Canis lupus familiaris: one gene and its partners. The protein of the gene in region 5 purifies or fractionates together with the protein of the main gene of each other region. This does not show direct contact. Links are inferred from orthologs where the notes say so. Each region holds a gene or a part of one and is shown on either strand. Other genes may lie near its edges. The genes, in order: RAD51AP1, ATAD5, PHLPP2, PPP1R9B and WDR48.

The links.
Region 1: the proteins of WDR48 (region 5) and RAD51AP1 purify together in Homo sapiens (affinity purification with mass spectrometry; 5 studies listed by BioGRID and IntAct, counting the BioPlex papers as one, with this or other methods). This does not show direct contact. The link is inferred for Canis lupus familiaris from reciprocal best matches to the Homo sapiens genes WDR48 and RAD51AP1.
Region 2: the proteins of WDR48 (region 5) and ATAD5 purify together in Homo sapiens (affinity purification with western blotting; 3 studies listed by BioGRID). This does not show direct contact. The link is inferred for Canis lupus familiaris from reciprocal best matches to the Homo sapiens genes WDR48 and ATAD5.
Region 3: the proteins of WDR48 (region 5) and PHLPP2 purify together in Homo sapiens (affinity purification with mass spectrometry; 5 studies listed by BioGRID and IntAct, with this or other methods). This does not show direct contact. The link is inferred for Canis lupus familiaris from reciprocal best matches to the Homo sapiens genes WDR48 and PHLPP2.
Region 4: the proteins of WDR48 (region 5) and PPP1R9B purify together in Homo sapiens (affinity purification with mass spectrometry; 3 studies listed by BioGRID and IntAct, with this or other methods). This does not show direct contact. The link is inferred for Canis lupus familiaris from reciprocal best matches to the Homo sapiens genes WDR48 and PPP1R9B.

What each region holds. Positions count from the first base shown.
Region 1 is NC_049248.1:5,749,471-5,753,586, reverse strand, and holds the start of RAD51AP1 (RAD51-associated protein 1), read right to left. Parts: upstream 2,816-4,116; 5' UTR 2,741-2,815; intron 2,735-2,740; exon of another isoform or gene 2,654-2,734; 5' UTR 2,615-2,653; coding exon 2,598-2,614; intron 1-2,597. UniProt on the Homo sapiens protein: Structure-specific DNA-binding protein involved in DNA repair by promoting RAD51-mediated homologous recombination.
Region 2 is NC_049230.1:40,841,462-40,844,707, forward strand, and holds the end of ATAD5 (ATPase family AAA domain-containing protein 5), read right to left. Parts: intron 3,079-3,246; coding exon 2,222-3,078; intron 1,611-2,221; coding exon 1,452-1,610; intron 1,349-1,451; coding exon 1,270-1,348; 3' UTR 514-1,269; downstream 1-513. UniProt on the Homo sapiens protein: Has an important role in DNA replication and in maintaining genome integrity during replication stress.
Region 3 is NC_049226.1:78,024,971-78,028,485, reverse strand, and holds part of PHLPP2 (PH domain leucine-rich repeat-containing protein phosphatase 2), read left to right. Parts: intron 1-186; coding exon 187-342; intron 343-2,758; coding exon 2,759-2,959; intron 2,960-3,515. UniProt on the Homo sapiens protein: Protein phosphatase involved in regulation of Akt and PKC signaling.
Region 4 is NC_049230.1:26,099,894-26,104,074, reverse strand, and holds the start of PPP1R9B (neurabin-2), read left to right. Parts: upstream 1-1,379; coding exon 1,380-2,795; intron 2,796-4,181. UniProt on the Homo sapiens protein: Seems to act as a scaffold protein in multiple signaling pathways. Modulates excitatory synaptic transmission and dendritic spine morphology. Binds to actin filaments (F-actin) and shows cross-linking activity. Binds along the sides of the F-actin.
Region 5 is NC_049244.1:8,978,513-8,982,027, reverse strand, and holds part of WDR48 (WD repeat-containing protein 48), read right to left. Parts: intron 717-3,515; coding exon 492-716; intron 1-491. UniProt on the Homo sapiens protein: Regulator of deubiquitinating complexes, which acts as a strong activator of USP1, USP12 and USP46. Enhances the USP1-mediated deubiquitination of FANCD2; USP1 being almost inactive by itself.

The DNA of each region.
Region 1 (4,116 bases), on a different chromosome or scaffold from region 5:
TTGCTGTGGGGCATTTATAAATTCCTGTTTATGTATTCTCTTGTTTTGTATGTGCATTCTGTCGTCCTATTAAAGATTATAAACTTGAACAAACTGAAAGCTATTTTCCTCTCATTTTTACTCTCCCCACAATACCAAAGTTCTTTATGGTATAGACACTGAAACAATGATGAATGACTTTGTACCTACCATCTGAAACAAATCTTTCTATTACTTTAGAGAGCCATTAGAAGAAAGTGATATTTGGCGTGCCTGGGTGGCTCAGGCCATTAAGTGTCTGGCTCAGGTCATGATTCCAGGGTCTTGGGATTGAGCCCCAGGGCAGGGAGCCTGCTTCTCCCCTCCCCTCCCCTCTCTGCCTCTCCCCGTGCTCGTCCTCTCTCTCTCTCTCAAATAAATAAATAAAATCTTAAAAAAAAAAAAAGTGATATTTAAACTGGAGAAAATAAACTCACTTTCTTCTCCCTTCCTCTAGGCGCTAAATGTGGTTTTCTTTTCTACCTTCTGCCAAGTACCCAAGTGTGAATAACCTAGTAGGCCAGTTGTTCTTTCAAGCAGAATGGTGTTCTATGAAAAAAGAGGTCAGTTCCCAACTCAATCTCACAAGTGCTTTTTCTGAAGACAACCACTGTAGAAGTAGTTTATGTTTTACATTTCATTTCCTCATATGGAATATTCAAATGAAGAGTACTCTTGTTACTCTCCTACTCTTTAAAGAATTTGAAAGCTGAATAAAATATGAAAACCCCTTTAAAAACTGAAACTGAATAATAGTAAAATATAATAAAAACTTTAAAAAGAAGTATGCTCAACAGTTGACCTATAATGAATATGAGATTTCTTACTGCTTCATCAACATCACATTCTTAAGTGAAACTGGCTCTTTTTTTTTTTTTTTTTTTTCCCTTGGTTAGAGGGTTTCAGGAACCCTAAGGGTCTGCAGTATTTTGACAACTGCTATTGCAGACAAGGGGATTATGTCTTTGCTACTTGGGTGTTTAAAATAAATTTCAGACTTCATGTGCTCAAAATGGGACTTCTGATCCCCCACATCTCCTGAATCTATTTCCTTTCCTAGTCTTCCCCACCTCGGTTAGTACAAAGATCATCCATTGGGATCCCTGGGTGGCGCAGCGGTTTAGCGCCTGCCTTTGGCCCAGGGCGCGATCCTGGAGACCTGGGATCGAATCCCACGTCGGGCTCCCGGTGCATGGAGTCTGCTTCTCCCTCTGCCTGTGTCTCTGCCTCTCTCTCTCTCTGTGTGTGACTATCATAAATAAAAAAAATAAAAAGATCATCCATTCAAGTAGCTCAGGCTAAAAATACTGTGAAGTCATCCTTGATTCTTTTTCTCCCTTACCTCCACATTCACTTCATCAGCAAGGTCTGTCAGCAGTATCTCCAAAATACATCCCAAATTCATCTGCCCCATTCCATGTCCACTGGTAACACTCTATTCCAACCCACTACCCAAATGATAAGGCGGTTTCCCTGTTCCCATTCTTGTTACCCCATCTTCCATTCTTTCTCCACCAGGAGCCAGTGAATTTTATAAAACCAAAATTAGAGCTGTCTGCTCTACTTAAAACTCTCCGTTGACTTCCCATTGTCCGTAGGATAAAATCCAAACTCGGCAGGAGCTCTGTCCAGCTTTCCTCCTCCTAAAGCCTACAAGGTCCTCCCTACTCTGGCCCCTGCCTATGTGCCCTAATCCGCTACAATTCCTCCCACTGCTTGCTAATGCTACAGCTTCAGTGGCCTTCTTCCAGTTTCTCCAACAGTCAAGCTCAGAGCCAGATTTTCCCTGGCAAGCTCCTTCTCAGGATTCATGTCTCAGATCACGTCTTACCTTTGCAGAGAGGCACACCCTAACGACACTTTTTAAAGTAAGGCTCTCCTTCTGCTCACTCTCTATCACTTTGCAGTATTTCTTTGCGGCCCCTCACCGCACCCTTGACTAGGATGTAACCAGTCACCAGCAGCACAGTATAGAAGTATATACACCGAGCAACTTTCCCAGTGAATGGCTGACTCTAGGCCTCCATAGCACTCCACCGTGGTTAAGCACAAGAATGGTTTCAAATGGTATAACGGAAAGCAGGGGGATCCGGAGCCGAGGATTTGGGTGTGTTATCCTGCCACTCAGTAGCTGTGCGACTCGGCTAGCTTGGCCTTTACGCCTAGTACTCTAAACAGATCAAAAATAGGGATACCTAAACTGCTAAAAAAAAAAAAAAAAAAAAAGAAAAGAAAGAAAAGAAAATTTGAAATGACACCTAAGTAGGCGCTCGGCGAAATGTAAAGCGCCATTCGAGTGCTAACACGACCAGGGCTTATTTCAATGGAGCGGGTCAAAGAATCCGCAATAGCTGTGAAGGGAGGCAAAGAGAAGGAAAGGCTGGTACGCCGGATGCTTCTGCGGATTCGGCGACTCTCGGTGGAGACCCGAGAGCTTCCCAGAAACCGTCCACCCCATCCCACCCGCGCTACCCTCGGCTCTATCCGGCCCTTTCCACCCAATCGTGTGCAGACGAAGCTCCCTACACCTTCCTCCTGCCTTTTCTCCCCGGTCCTCGCTGCTGTCATGAACTACTCACCTCACAGGACGCACCATGGTCGCCTCCGCGACGGAAAACTCGCAGCTTTCAAGTTCCTGTTGGCAGGAGTGGCGGTTTCAATTCCCGCGCAAAACCAGACCCAGACGCTCTCCGCCCCCAGCCCCCAGCCGTCCAATGATTACCGGCCATCCTTGCCGCTGCGCATGCGCTCTGAGAGGACGCCGTGCCCAAGGCACTGCCCTTCCGCATCCGTTCTCCCAAAGCCGAGTCTCTGCTTTGCCGCTGCAACTTTCGCCACGACAGTGAATTTTTTTTTTTTTTACGCCTTCTCTGAGATTCATAATAACAGTAGAAATACACCTTTTTTACATTTTTTACATGATTACATTGGGGCGTTATGGAAAAAGGGGGCACTGAGGCCGAGGAATTTTCTACAGAGTGCCGGGAAAGAGGAAAAGGTACGGGCGAATCTGCTGAAGCAGTTTTTACAGCCCACAGATAGGCGAGTAAGTCAGCTGATGTTCCCTGCGCCGCAGCTCCTTGACAGCTCCGAGTGTGCAGCCCGCGCGGGGCTTCGGAACCGGAAGGTGAGCCCAGAACCCAAAGCGAGGAAGCCCGTTCAGACCGAACCCGCCTAGTGGAGCGGGTGTTCCCCCTCGGCCGGAGTTTCTCGCGCTGGCAGCCTGCCCTCCCCTTCCTGCACGCAGAACCCGCACCCTGTTGGCCGCAGGAGTTCTGTCCAGCTCTCTCCTCCTCCCGTCCCCAGTTTGCCTGGGAAACCTTTCCTAATTTCACCCCTGCTTAAAAAAAAAAAAAAAAAAAAAAAAAGTGGGGAGAGGGAACTAAAGTTTCAGACCATAAATTTAAATCTTGAACCGTTTGAAACCGGAGCTAATGGTTTTTGTGGATCGGAAATATTGAATCTAAACAAGATTAGATCATAAACCTATTTATCCGTAAGTTTCAGTCCCCTTTTACGGTGTTCCTTTACTGCTTTTGTCTTCATCATGTGTACTCAATCAGCAATCTGCGATTTTTTTTTTGTTAAGTTCTTAGAGAACTTCTTTTATTATTACTAGTTTTCAATCTGTTGATCATCTTTTTTTGTCAGACGTTTCATATCTGTCATTCTATTAATCCTTATGACAATCCCACAAATTAAAAGACTCCCCGGTGCCCATCTATGCGGAGACCTGAAGAACCTGAGTGGTTGTTATCCAAGGAAAGAAAAGCAGTAAGAGTGCTGCTCTAGGCAAAGAAAAAGCATTCAAAAAGGTGGGAAGTGGAAAGAAAGGTTTTTGCCTGGAAAATGGTTTGTGTGTTGGGGTGTTGAGGGGTGTAGGTGTTGGGGGGGAGGCCTCGAAATACAGACAGAAGCATTGTACACTGGGTAAAGGGGTTTGAATTTTGTCCCGAGAGCAATGGAATATGATCAAAAGGCTTTAAGCAGATGAGCAATATAATCAAATAAGCTCTTTGGAAAGATTACTGTAACTTCAGCATAGAGAATACTGTGAAAACTGATTTGATGATGAAAAGCATAGAGATGGAGTCCAGT
Region 2 (3,246 bases), on a different chromosome or scaffold from region 5:
CTGAGAATTACCAGAATTTTCTAGTAAGACCAAATTAACAGGTAAGTCCTCTACAAATAGTGAATGCTAGTATGCAACAGAAAAAAAATTCATATACTTAAAAACCCACAAAACTTCAGATCTCTTCTTTTGTACAAGAGCAAAACCTGTAACCTTTAATTAAATCAACATACTATCAATGAAAAAGTAGACTGAACAAATAAGAGGTAAAACATATCTTTCATACACATTTGTAAACAGGTATACACATCAGTATTTTCCATCTGTACAAAATTAGGATCCTTACCTTTGAGGTAAATATATAATTCACCAGATAATGTAACTGAATTCTAGGCTAATAAATATAAACACTTAAAATAGGAAACTATTTTCAGATATACCTGATTATGCAATAGCAAAAATGATTTGAAGTAAAATGTGGGATTTAAAGATCTTGTAATTAAAAAAACACACTTTCTCCAAAACCAACCTGAAGTGGAAATGGCTATGATGTAGAAAGTTCATATAGTAAAATCCTTTGTTACAATTTTAATGAATAAGCAGTTTGTCCAAAATAGATATATTAACACCATTAATATCTTTATGAAATAAAATACTGATATAAAAATACAAAAAATGTACAAGCAAATGATGTGAGTTGGCAAAATATACAAGATATCACATGTATGGTTGCTAAAAAGGATTTATGAAAATGACAATTCATAATCTTGTTTTCACTTTGTCAATATTCAATGATTCAATGGTAAAATATGCTGGAGGAATACACTAAAAATAAACTTATTGGGAAGATGGTACTTTTTGAAAAATGATGCATAATTTCTTCCCTAGGAAGTTTTTATGTATTACATAATTTTGTATTGTGTAAACTAGATTATCTCCTAGATGATTCATATATACAACTTGACAGAGTACTGACAGGCTGGAGAGAGGTGGGTTAAAATAAACAGGAAAGAAAAATTACAGATTAACAGTGCAACACCTTTAGAAATATTTAGTGAATTCTACCTTCCAGAACAGCTCACTCACACAAAAATACAACAACACTAAACCAATACAAAAAGTTTCAGAAAAAAAAAAAAAAATCACCACAATCATAAATACAATTTGTGACTCAAATTTTTTCACTTTAAATATTTGCACACTAATAATATACAAATAGTCCTTTTTTAAATGTACATTAAGAGAAATAAATTCTTCCATGAAGATCAATATAAAAATGTATCTTGAGGAACACATAATAATCTGTACAAGGCATTGGTAATGTAGATGTTAAGGGAAGCCAGCTGCCAGAGTGTTCACAGTCTCTTTCGAAATGTTAAGATGAATCCCTTCAAGATAGTGCAGGAACCTGTCAAAAATTACAAGGAAAAATGCAATTTTTAAGAATCAGATGAGAATATTTATTAATCTTCAAATAGCTATATATAATGTTATTTATATAGCGCCTTTACCTTCTTTTATTTTTTCCTTGTTCTTTTAGCTTCTCAGTCCTACAAATGTTCCGAAGAGTTGGCAAGTACTCAGTTATACTAGCTTGTCTGTTACCCAGGTTTAGAAGAGATCTGCTAGAAAATACACTTTTAATGACTGCTATCCTCTTCCAGGCACTGCTGTAAATTAAAAGTAATGCATTACTTTTTATTTTTAATGCCCAAGAAAAATGCAGCAATCCCAAATATAACCAGTTTCTAGTCTTTCTTAAGACTAGATTAACCAGATTCCAGGTTAACTTCCCGTATTTTTTTTTTCCTATATCATTTTCAACACAGTCACTCCCATACCAAAAGAATCTTTAATGGCTACCCCACCATCTGCCCCAAGCATATCCAAACCCCATTCCCTGTTATTCAAGAGTCTTCTAATATCTCGTTTTTCTTCCTAACCATCAGGCTGGTCTCCCTGTCTTATTAGAAGCTACATTATTAAGTGTTTGTTTCTTTTAGATTTTATTTATTTATTCACAAGACACAGAGAGAGGCAGAGACACAGGCAGAGGATGAAGCAGGCTCCATAGGAGCCTAATGTGGGACTTGATCCCGGAATCCTGGGATCACGCCCTGAGCCAAAGGCATACACTCAACCGCTGAGCCACCCAGGCGCCCCAATATTAAGTGTTTAACCTGGGATCAATAAAGCCCAGCATTTCAAAATTAGTAAAAAGAAATGAATAATTTCCTCTTTATCATCTGTTATTGAAAAAACAAGTTAAAGGATGACTTACTCTAAATTAGCTGCTGACTGACTAAAGTATACATTGTTGCGCTTTTGTGAAATGGAGAGAGTAAGCTCTTTAGTTGGATCTCTTCCTGATTTCTTGCAAGAATTCAAGGAGGTTTCCAGTGCTTTCGAAATAGTAGATGAACATTTAGTAAAGCTGAGTGCTTCTATAGCTGCCTTTAATTCTCCAGAGCTCTGAGAAGTCCATCCATCACTAGTCTCGAGACTAAATTCATCACAAAGTCCGCTTTTAACATTTGTCCAACTAAAGTCATTTTTACCAAATTCCTTTTGTTCTCTTACATCAACTAAAAGAGCATCTAAGAAGGACATGTTATCCATGAACTCAGTGAGAGAATTTAAACAGTGAGAAACAAGGGCAGAACATTTTTTTTCTGCTGGTGTTTTAGGACAAGGAATAGATTCCGTGTTAGACTCTAAACATTTGTTCAGTTTCTTTACATCTGGATTGCTTTCTTTGTCTCTGGCTTTGCTGTCTTCTGAATTTGAGGAAGATGCAGGAGAACGGCTAAGAAATTCATTAGAGAAATCCAATTCGGTGTCAAACAAGTCGCTATCATCTAGAATTTCCATCTTTTTCTTTTGTTTCTTTTTTTGTGGCTTTTTCAATGGCTTCTCTCCTTCAGAATGTTTCCTAGCAAGACATTTCATATGTTTTGTTGCTGTACTGCTGTCCACACTTACTGATGAACCATAGAAGTTTTCTGTTTCTGGAATGATATTAACAGGTAGTGGTAGAATGAACTCAAGATTACTATGTAAGAAATCTACATTCTGCATTCGGAATTCTGTAAGAAGCTGGATGAACTGATGACATTCTTCCTTTGTTCTGATTTTGTGCTGAAAAACAATTTTGAGTGAAGAAGTGTTAGAACATAGTCTGAATGTTTTCCTACCTATATGAATATAGTGGCATCCTTATTCTATCTTAAAAGTAATGAGTTGCTACCCTCTCATAATTTTATTGACGTATGCTCCCTTAATTCATCAAAATAGTTCTGAGTCTAA
Region 3 (3,515 bases), on a different chromosome or scaffold from region 5:
TTCCTGGTGGGTGGTGGATAAGCATATGGTCATGGCCGCTCTGTTGGCCCAGGTGCTTGCCAGTGATTAGACTGTCTAGAATATGCTGCTGTTAGTTTACTCATTTCAGGGAGGTGGCCAAGGACAGACTCAGAAAGAATGATTTAAGTAAGTTTTTCATTTATTTCTTTGTACTGTTTCCCTTAGAATCCTTAGTAGCTTGAGTCTTAGGAAGCTGACAGTGGCACACAACCAGCTGCAGAGCCTGCCCATGCTGGTGGAGCACATCCCTCTGGAAGTGTTGGATATTCAGCATAACTTACTCACCAGGCTGCCAGATACTCTCTTCTCCAAGGCCTTAAAGTAAGTGCCACCAAGTTTATTTAGAGGAGAGAATCATTGGTGCAACCAACTATACTGACTGGTCATTGGAGTGATCTTTGGAACTATATTCACATTGTTTGCCTCTTGGTCCAACTGTGTGTGGGTGGAGACTGACTTATATGAGTAATTTATAGGAAATAAAAGATGACACTGTTGGATGAGGCAATAGTCTTTGACTCAAAAGTTGCAATAACCATCAAATACTTAAGTTTTAATGTTATAGACAGTTTTCGAGCAGGTTGGGAAATTTCAAACAGGCTTTCATCTCCAAAAATGAATACATTCATGGCCTCGTAAAAAATAATTACAGCATTCTGATAAAGCTTTCTTGGGCGATTTTTAGCTTTTGCATTTGGGGAAAGAGGACAGACGTATCACTAAAGTTAATTTATTTTTGCTTCTTGCTTTGTTTACCAAGCTATCATCAAGTTACATTCTTAATGTGCAGTGTTTTTTTACTACCTGGTTTGAAAACTGAGCATTTAAAGGAAACATTGTTCCAAAGGTGTTTGTGTTCTCATTGTGAATTAACCAATAGATAGTGTGTCTTCCTATTACTTCCTATAACCAGATTTATCTCATGCATATGTCACCATTAAGTGAAAACTAGTTTTAATTATAGTCTTCTGCAATAGGGAGAAGGTAATATTATCTTCAGTTTAAAAATGGAGAAAACAGAGATAAGCAGTAGTAATTTAACATAAGACTACAGGATATATACAAAAAGCATGTAGCTCACAGGTGTCTGGCATGTTCTTTGGCAGCTTATGTATCTCTTAATGTATAATATACTTGGTTGGATTTTCCTAAAAGTAGAATCTTTGGAAATTTTAGAAAATATTTGAGGGAAATTTTCTTTTTGGAAAGTTTATACGGGATCTTAATGCAGTAACATTTAACTTGGTAACTAACAAGTATTTGTTAGTAATGTATAACACTGCCTTTAGGCCCCCCCCCCTTTTTAATTTTGAGAGGGGGGTTAGGGGCAGAGGGAGAGAATCTTAAGCAGGCTCCATGCCCAGCATGGACTTTATCTCACAACCCTGAGATACTGACCTGAGCTGAAATGAAGAATTAGATGCTTAATTATCTGAACCACCCAGACACTCTCTTTTTACTTTTCTTTCTTTCATTTTTTTTTTTTTTTACATACTATTTTAAGGAATCTCCACACCCAATGTGAGGATTGAACCCACAACCCCAATATCAAGACTGAGTCACCCAGGCATCCTTTTGTGTGTGTGTGTGTGTGTGTGTTTTAAGTTTTTATTTTTAAGCAATTTCTATACCTAACATGGGGCTTGAACCCACAGCCCCAGAATCAAGAGTCACACACACCACAGACTGAACCAGCCAGGTGTAGTTCTTTATTTTTCACTGCATTTATTTCTAATGATAGCCTGAATAAAATTAGTTTATAACCTTATAATTTTTAGTAAGGAAGCTACTTAGTAGCTGTAGCAAACTATCAATGAAACTAATCTAATACTAACTGCCCAGAACACTTTTGGGACACACACACACACACACACACACACACACGTAAATAGTACCCTCAACAGCTAAAAAGCTAATGAGGGATGTGAATCACATAATATTAAGAAGACTTAAGAGCACACAAGGTTAATAATAATAGCTATCTTTTATTGAGCATATTCACATATACCAAACACCATGCTATGCAAAATTTTTAAATCATACCATATTTTACCTGTTAGATTGGCAGAGATTAAAATGAAGTATTAAGTATGATACTTAGCTTTGACAGAAGATTGAGCAAACATTCTTATATTATGCTTGTGGAAGGTATAACTTGGAATAGCCTTTCTGGGATTCAGTTTGATAATATTTATATATACAAATCTTAAAGATAAATGTACTTTTGACCCTACAAATTCTGCATCTGGGAATATAACCTAAAGGAATAATTAGATAAGGACACAAAGTTGTTCATCACAATGTCTGTAATAGTAAATAGTTGCCAACAGCCTATATGCTATTGTCTGCAGACTATAAGTGGATTGGCTAAATAAATATGATCCTGCTAAAGTTAGACAAAAACTTTTCTGAAAGGTGCCTTCACAAGTGAGATATTAGTGAACATGACATTCAACAATTCTGTGCACAGTAGACAGTAAAAGAGGACACTAGCTTAGAATCAGACCACTGCAAAAGCCTGGGAACACAAACAAGCCTGAATTCTTTCCTCTCTGCTTCAATTGCATGAGTTGAATAAAGGAACTTTGGTTGGGTGGATAGAATCAATTAGAGAAAAAATCCTGGAGGAAATTACTTGTCATAAGTTTGGGAGTATGAAATGGCAGTGTCCTGTACTGAGATAGTATGATGGTAACAACCGTAAAGGAAATGGTGATTTGTGTATGTGTTCTGTCAGTCTCAGATACTTGAATGCATCTGCAAACAGTCTGGAATCTTTGCCATCTGCTAGTGCTGGAGAGGAGAGTCTGAGTGCTCTGCAGCTGCTCTATCTGACCAACAACCTTCTGACAGACCAGTGTGTGCCCGTTCTGGTGGGGCACCCGCACCTGCGAATCTTGCATCTTGCGAACAACCAGCTACAGACCTTTCCTGCAAGGTAAGCAAATGCAGACACTGGTCATTTCGGATACACAGCATGAAATCTGCATTTGCCAGTCTCCATTACAGTTCTCTTTCTGGATCCTCTTGCTTTATGTTGAGCAGCTTGGTGGTGCTATGATTCCACTAGTTGAATGAAGAAAATCTATACCCAGTTGATTATCAGTAACCAGAGAAATGGTAGCTAAAATGCATTTAATTCTTTGTTACAATGATTTAATAATAGTCTGAGAATTTTCAGCCTAGAAAACTACAAGCTTAAGAAATGCATTTTGAAAACAATTTTTTCTTTTCCCTTGTCAACACTGTTTTATGATATACTGTTGAGTCCATTAATTTATTCATTATATATATGTTTTTGAACACCTACTGTATGTCAAGTACTGGAAAAACAGTGGTGGTTAGGTTAGCAGTCTCTGTCCTCAAATAAGGTACAGTCAAATTGGGGAAATAGACAAGTCACAGGCAATTACAGTGCAGTGTAATAAATGCAGAATGTTAAAGATACAAAGGTAGCTAGCTGCACTGCACAGGGCCTAGGGCTGGGGTTGGCC
Region 4 (4,181 bases), on a different chromosome or scaffold from region 5:
GCCCCAGGCCTCCAGAATTCCTCCTCCCTGTTTGAGAGGCGAGTGCCCCCATAGGGGTGGAAGACAAGGATTCCACCCCTTCCCTGGCAGCCTGGGTGCAGAGTGGGCTGGCGACTGGACAACCCATTACAGGGTTCCAAAGGGCAAAGGCCAGCTTCGGGCCGCCACCTGGGGGGGGTATGAGGACCATTTCCTTTCTCCGTTCTCCTTCCTCCTCCACCACAAGGCCAGCAACACTGAGCGGAGCTTTCACACCTTAGAAGGTTGCAAAAGGTTCTCCACAAGAAATTGTTAAAATGCAGGTTCCTGGGCCGGCCTCTGAGATTCTGCTTCACAAAGTTTGGAGGAGGGCCCAGAAATCTGAATTTAAAAAATGTTTAAAGTGCCCAGCGATTTTGATGCCGATGGTCTTGAACCACACTAGAGAACTACAAGGACCATGAAGGAAATACTCCTGTGCCCCGCCCCCACGACTCTCCCTTCACGTTTGGGGTGAAGAGCCCCCCCCCCCCCCCGTGAGACCACTGCGGCTGGACCGCTTCCCCCAGTATTTGGTGGGGGCCTACTTTGGTGGGTCTGGGTAAGCCGCAGTCAGAGGTTGGGATGGAAGGGCTGAAGAGGACGGGCCGGGAGCGGGGGTCAGCGTCAGGCTGTCGGAGCGGGAGGGGCAGGGGAGGGGATACGGTCGGGAGGAGGGGAAGGGGAGGGCTCACAGACTCCAGCCCCGGAAATCCGATCCCTTTAGGACCCAGAGGTGCCAGTCCCCCAGCGGCGGCGGCGAGAAGGGCAGCCGCTCGGTGTCGGGCTGCCGCCGCTCGGGCAGAGCCAGAGAAAGACCGAGGCTCGGGGCGCGGGGGGGAGGGAGGGAGGGAGGGTGGCGCGGCGGCGGCGGAGCGGCCGGGGCCGGCCGAGCAGCCATGGGCGCCGGGGTGCCGGGCCCCCCGAGAGCCAAGGCCCCCGGCCGGGGTGGGGGACTCCCGGGCTGCCAGCCCCGCTGACACCGCCTCGGACGATGTGAGCCGGCGCCTCCGCCGCTGCTTCGCGGGCAGGGCGCGCGGTCCCACCGGCCCCGGCCGCCGCTTGTCGCGTTTGGGTGGGGGCGACCGCAGCAGGCCGCTCGGGCTCTGAACGAGGGGCCGGTGGCTGTGGCAGCTGGATTGGGGGAGGCGACCCACACAGGGCGCTCGGAGATTTTTTTCCCCTTTTTTTTTTTTTTAAGCGGGGTTAACTGTTTTTGGCAGCCTGGTTGGGGGGAGCCTACAAAAGGCCTTCCGGGGTTTCTTTTCTCGGGGGGAGGGGGCGGTGGTCCCGACTTGGCCAGCCGCCTGTCGGAGGGGGGGAGCGGGAAGCGAGGGGATGCGCCCCCGCCTCCCCCCACCATGATGAAGACGGAGCCGCGGGGGCCCGGGGGTCCCCTCCGGAGCGCCTCCCCGCACCGCAGCGCCTACGAGGCGGGCATCCAGGCGCTGAAGCCGCCCGACGCGCCCGGGCCCGACGAGGCGCCCAAGGCGGCCCACCACAAGAAATATGGCTCCAACGTCCACCGCATCAAAAGTATGTTCCTGCAGATGGGCACGACGGCGGGGCCGCCGGGCGAGGCGGGCGGCGGCGCGGGCCCCACCGAGGCCCCGCGGGCGCCCGAGCGCGGCGTGCGCCTGTCGCTGCCGCGGGCCAGCAGCCTCAACGAGAACGTGGACCACAGCGCCCTGCTCAAGCTGGGCACCAGCGTGTCGGAGCGCGTGAGCCGCTTCGACTCCAAGCCCGCGCCCTCGGCGCAGCCCGCGCCGCCGCCGCACCCGCCGTCCCGGCTGCAGGAGACGCGGAAGCTGTTCGAGCGGAGCGCCCCGGCGGCCTCGGGCGGCGACAAGGAGGCCGCGGCGCGGCGGCTGCTGAGGCAGGAGCGCGCCGGCCTGCAGGACCGGAAGCTGGACGTCGTGGTGCGCTTCAACGGCAGCACCGAGGCGCTGGACAAGCTGGACGCCGACGCCGTGTCGCCGACGGTCAGCCAGCTCAGCGCCGTCTTCGAGAAGGCCGACTCGAGGACCGGCCTGCACCGCGGCCCGGCGCTGCCCAGGGCCGCGGCCGCCGGGGCCCCGCACGCCGGCTCGAAGCTGGTCAGCAGGCGGTCCCGCGTGTTCCAGCCGCCGCCGCCGCCGCCGCCCGCCCCGTCGGGGGATGCGCCGGCCGACAAGGAGCGCGGCCCCGGCCCCGGCCCCGGCCCCGGCCCCGGCCCCGGCCCCGGCGGGCAGCAGCCTCCGCAGCACCGGGTGGCCCCTGCCCGGCCGCCCCCCAAGCCCCGGGAGGTGCGCAAGATCAAGCCGGTGGAGGTGGAGGAGAGCGGGGAGTCGGAGGCCGAGGCGGCGCCCGGGGAGGTGATTCAGGCGGAGGTGACGGTCCACGCGGCCCTAGAGAATGGCAGCGCCTTGGCAACCACTGCCAGCCCCGCGCCCGAGGAGCCGCAGAAGGCCCAGGCGGGCCCCGAGGAGGCCGCGGCCACCGTGGCGGCGCCCGAAAGAGCGCTGGGCGACGGCCGGGCCCCGGACGTGGCCCCTGAGGAGGCGGATGAGTCCAAGAAGGAGGACTTCTCGGAGGCGGACTTGGTGGACGTGAGCGCCTACAGCGGGCTGGGGGAGGACTCCGGGGGCAGCGCCCTGGAGGAGGACGACGAGGAGGACGAGGAGGACGGCGAGGCCCCCTATGAGCCCGAGTCGGGGTGCGTGGAGATCCCGGGGCTCTCGGAAGAAGAGGACCCGGCCCCGAGCCGGAAGATCCATTTCAGCACGGCGCCCATCCAAGTGAGTGAGCCCCCTCCCCGCCCCCGCCCCCGCGCCGCCCCTGCCACGTGCACGCCTCGCCCCCGCCTCGCCAGCCCGCCAGCCAGCCGGGTTTGGCAGGCTGAGTCAGCCCCTGCCACCCAGCCCCCTTCCCAGAAGTTACCACCCGGAGGGGGGCGTGGGGGACTTCCAGCTGTTTGTCAGAGGGCGGCCTGCCCCGACCTGCCCTCAGGTTCCTCTGCCTGCAGCCTCGCCCTGGCTGCCCTGGCTGCCCTGGCCGCCCTGGCTCGGCCGCACCTGCATCCTGGGACACCTGCTTCCCCTTCCTCTCCCAGGCACTCTTCCTCCCAGAGGCCGCCCGAGGCTCTTGGGGGCTTGGGTGGTGGGAAGTGTGTGTCTGTGTGTGTGTGTCCTCAGGAGACCCTCCCCACTTTGCTCCTGACCCCACTGGGCGGGAGAGGACCAAGAGCTTAGAAACACCCCCCTGCACTCCCCCTAGAGAGGAGGGAGAAGCCAAGAACTTCCTAAAAGAAGGTGAGGTGTAGGGGACCACAGTCCTCCTGCATCCTGTCTGTAGCCCCCACCCCAAAGTTTGCAGAAGTGAAAGAGGGAAGCAGGTCTTTGAGGGTGAGCTAGGCTGGGGCCATGTGACTCAGGGTGGGGGGAAAGGCCTAGTCTGGCGCTGGGGCCCTGTTCCCTGGGGTCTGTGCTGGGCCAGCTGGGGAGGTGGAGGTGTTGGGCAGGGAGCAGGTGCCTGGCCTGGCCCGTGAGGGGGCTGGGCCTTGGGCGGGACACCGAAGAGAGGGGGTGGGAGCTGGGAAAGCCCCCAGGGCCCTGGCAGCTGCCCACATGTCTTTGCTCTTGGCTGCTGGGTAGGGCACACTCCCATGGCCTTGGCAAACCCCAAGCCCTCTTGCCACATTCTCCGGGTGCCCTGAAAGAGGGATGGGAGCTGCCCTTCAGCACCCCCATCCCTGCCACCACGCTTGTGATTGGTTTGTGGCTGGTGCCAGTGCCCTGAGATCCTCAGAACAGTGCCAACAGGAGTGGTGGGGACATCCCCGGGAAGAATTAAGAGCCCTTGGTCACCTCCTCCCTTCCTGCCACTCCAGTCTTGGCTGGCACATGCAGCCTAGCTGGCCCTATTCTCAGGCTCAGCTGTGCCCAGCACTAGATCCACTGCAGGGGGCTGTCCAGGGCCTGGACCCTGTCTTTACCCCTCCAGAGCCAAGCCCTCATCTCTTTGCTCAAAGTTTCTGTAACTGGTCCTGGACTCTGAGGCTGCCCATGTTTCCTCCCAGCCCTCCTAGAATATCAGTGGCCCCTCTCCCACCTCTCACCCCAGCTGAGGCCTGAAAGGTGCTACTCCCAGGCCAGCCCTCCCCCTTCTGAGGCTTCGACCTTACA
Region 5 (3,515 bases):
TCAGTATGGATGGCTTTTCAAGTACCCTTTCACCCTACACAGTAGATGTTGATTTAGCAATCGGGACTACTCTGAGATAGGAACCCTTCGGAGTATGAGCTGGCTTGGTTCTCTCTTCTTTTGAATCACTCTTCCACATCCTCCCTCTTGAAGCAGTGGACACACTCGTGCTTTGCTCTGCTCACTCAAGTTGAGTGTTGTCTGCTTACAGATACCTGAACTTATCATATTCCTTCATTAAAGACAGGTTAGGAAAGCCAGGTGAGTTCAGGAGCAATGTGGGGCAATTGCACTAGGATTTGCTAGTGGGACAGCTACTGGTCTCTGAGGTACCCAAGAAGTCACAATTTCTTCTACAGGTAACTAATAAAAATCTAAATATATTCTTTTATCTGTAACTCCACAACTGATTCCTGTTTTAATACAGATTTTGCTGGATTTGGCTGGTACACGTAACAGTTTTAACCACAAAACTAAAATATAGGACATACCTTGAGAACTGGTGCTTTTTCTTCACAAATTAGTACCCGAATGTCAGGGTTTCTAAGGTCTGTACAATAAATCTTCCTGTCCCTTCCTCCAGAATACACGTGCGTGAAGGCGTCATTGACTTGCAGAGCCCAGACACCTTCATCATGGACTCGGTATGTTGCTATACATCTCTGCTGGCCAAGGGACCAAAGGCGAATTGTCCCATCAGAACTGCCGGAAAGGCACTGAAAGCAGAGAAAAGTTAAAGTGAGAGAAAGTTCTGGCCAGAAAGTTCCTGCTTTGCTGTGCTCTGCCCTTGGTGCCTCTCCTGACTCTACACTGTCAAACACACACCTCTAACAACCTGCATTTCTACCTCAGATAAAGACTTCTGAAAAGCATGCACTTTGGCTGAAATGACCAAAGGCAACAGTGTATGCTCAAGCAGGGGAAAAGTCTGAGCAAAACTGCCGCTGTCCTCTCCACCTGGCCACATGTAGAATCAGCTTCACCTGGGAACTTGTAAAAATGCAGATTCTCAACCTAAGGAGGCAGAAATTCTGGTGGGCCCCAGCAATTTGTATTGTGATAGGCTCTCCAGGTCATTCTGGTATGCTAAGGTCAACAAGCTTTGCAACAGGCCACAAGCCTTTTAAAGGCCTGGGTCATACCTGTGTCTCATCCCCTCCGCATGGCAATGGATTCCTGATGGCCTCCCAGGTCCCTGAGATTCTACAAATAGAGGAGGCAGCAGGAACATCTAGTCCCAGGCTTACCACTCCCTATTTGTGACCTTGGATACTTCCCATCTGAGCCTCAAGTTCAACATCTATTAATATAAAATGTGGACCATCAGCATTTAGAGTTAACATTAGTGATTCTGACACTTTCTAAAGGCTCAGGAGCTGACACAACTACACAGAAGTTGCTGGCACTCAAATTAGGGCCGAGCACACTATGAGTCCAAGAGAAAGAGGCTAAATCAGCCACCCCACATTCACACTCAGCATGCCTGGTGTTCACTGCCAGTTACCGTGGTGACTTGCAGAAGAGAATAAAAACTTACTTCTCTGGGGAAAAAATGGCCTCAAGAAGAAGTAACTGCTGATGTATGAAATTAAGTAGGCAAAGCGCTTCAAAGATGAGAAGTTAGTTGTGGGCTTGGAGATTTGCAAAGCGTTTCAATAGATGAGGTCTTCAAGAATATTAAGATTTACTGGTATGACGTGTGACTGGAAGGGGCCTTTAGAACTCTGGACGTGTTTAATTAAACGAACAACCACTAGGAGACACCCCCTGTAAGTTGCCAGGAGCATCAGTGTTTTATTACCCTCTTCCAACTGGTTTACAAGGCAACCAAGAGCCTAAGCAACAAAGAACTGCCTGGAGTAAGTTACAAGCAGTAAGTTACAAGCAGCCCTCCAACATGTCTGTGGAAGGACCCCTGCAATCTGATGGAGAGAGGGCAAGGAGGGGCTCCCACTTCCAGGAAGAGCTGCTACTCTGAGGTGGCAAAGCTGTTAGCATATCCTTGATCCCTCAGATTCTAGGCCATGAATCTACAGGAGTAAGGTCTGACAAATTTAGGATAAGGAAAGCTAAGGTGATGGGTTGGAAGTCCTCATAGCTTGGGCAAGTTGCAGCAAGGAAGTCCCAAACCCAAAAGCATAAGCTGAAAGCAGATAAGGGGACACAGAGCTGTATCAACTCTGATACTGAACAAAATAATCTCTGATCGTAATTGTATTCTAAATCTGCTAAAAAGCAGGCCCTGAAGTAGACAATAATTACTTTTAAAGTACAATGCTGGTAAACTTCTTTGCAGCATTTGGTAGTACAGTTGAAGGATGTGCCTATTTAATAGGAAAGAGTGCCTACTACCCTGTAGGACCTAGAGTAATCATCAAACATTTCCCACTACCTCCACCCTTCCACTGGATAAACGTGAAGACGCTATCATTAGGAGGTAATTCTTAGAACTAGGATGGAAGGCCCTGAATGGTTCTGCTACACAAGACTCAGAGGCACAGAGTCTACAGTCCTGATCAGGTTGTTGTGCTTTTGCCAATAGAAATGAGAGGGGAGGGCAGCCCGGGTGGCTCAGCGGTTTAGCGCTGCCTTCAGCCCAGGGCCTGATCCTGGAAACCTGGGATCGAGTCCCATGTCGGGCCTCCTGCATGGAGCCTGCTTCTCCCTCTGCGTGTGTCTCTGCCTCTCTCTCTCTCTGTTTCTCTCATGAATAAATAATAAAATAAAATCTTAAAAAAAAAATAAAAGAAATGAGAGGGGACAGTGTATTGAGGCCTGGCTGCTATGACCAACATACATGTTTCTGGGATGGTCACTTATACACAATTGTGACTGCCAATACACAGGAGCCAAGAGGGCAAGGTAAGCTGGGGCAAGGAGTAACCTGATTGCTTAAAGACCCCTAGACTTTTTTTTTTAAATAAAGATTTTATTTATTTGACAGAGAGAGAGTGTGTGCACACGCATAAGCAGGGGAAACGGCAGGAAGAGGGAGAGAGAGAAGTAGGCTTCCTGCTGAGCAGAGAGCTTGATGAAGGGCTCAATCCTAGGACCCTGAGATCATGACCTGAGCTGAAGGCAGATGCTTAACCGGCCGAGCCACCCAGGTGCCCTAGACCCCTAGACTTTAAGCTAGGTTCAGCAGGACTTCAGTTACAGGAAAACCCTGTGAGGGACACACAAGGATGTCACTGGCTCAACCAAAACAACAGATTATCCCAGTTCCTCAAGCAATTGCCTGAGCAAGTACAAAGGACGAAATGTCATGTGGCTTGTCCCGGAAATGTTGGCACCAATCAAAACAACTGCAGTGGCAATAGATCTCAAACGGTAAGATTTGCTAAATAACAATACAACAAAGGAAGGAGATGTCCATGGGATTCACTGGTCTATTAGACATATCTTATCACAAGTCCCTGACTTCCAATGTCATCAGAAATCCTACATTATTAGAAGCTTGCAGGGCAACTCTGAGGGATATAGTACATACTCTGGTCCAACAACGATTAATTATT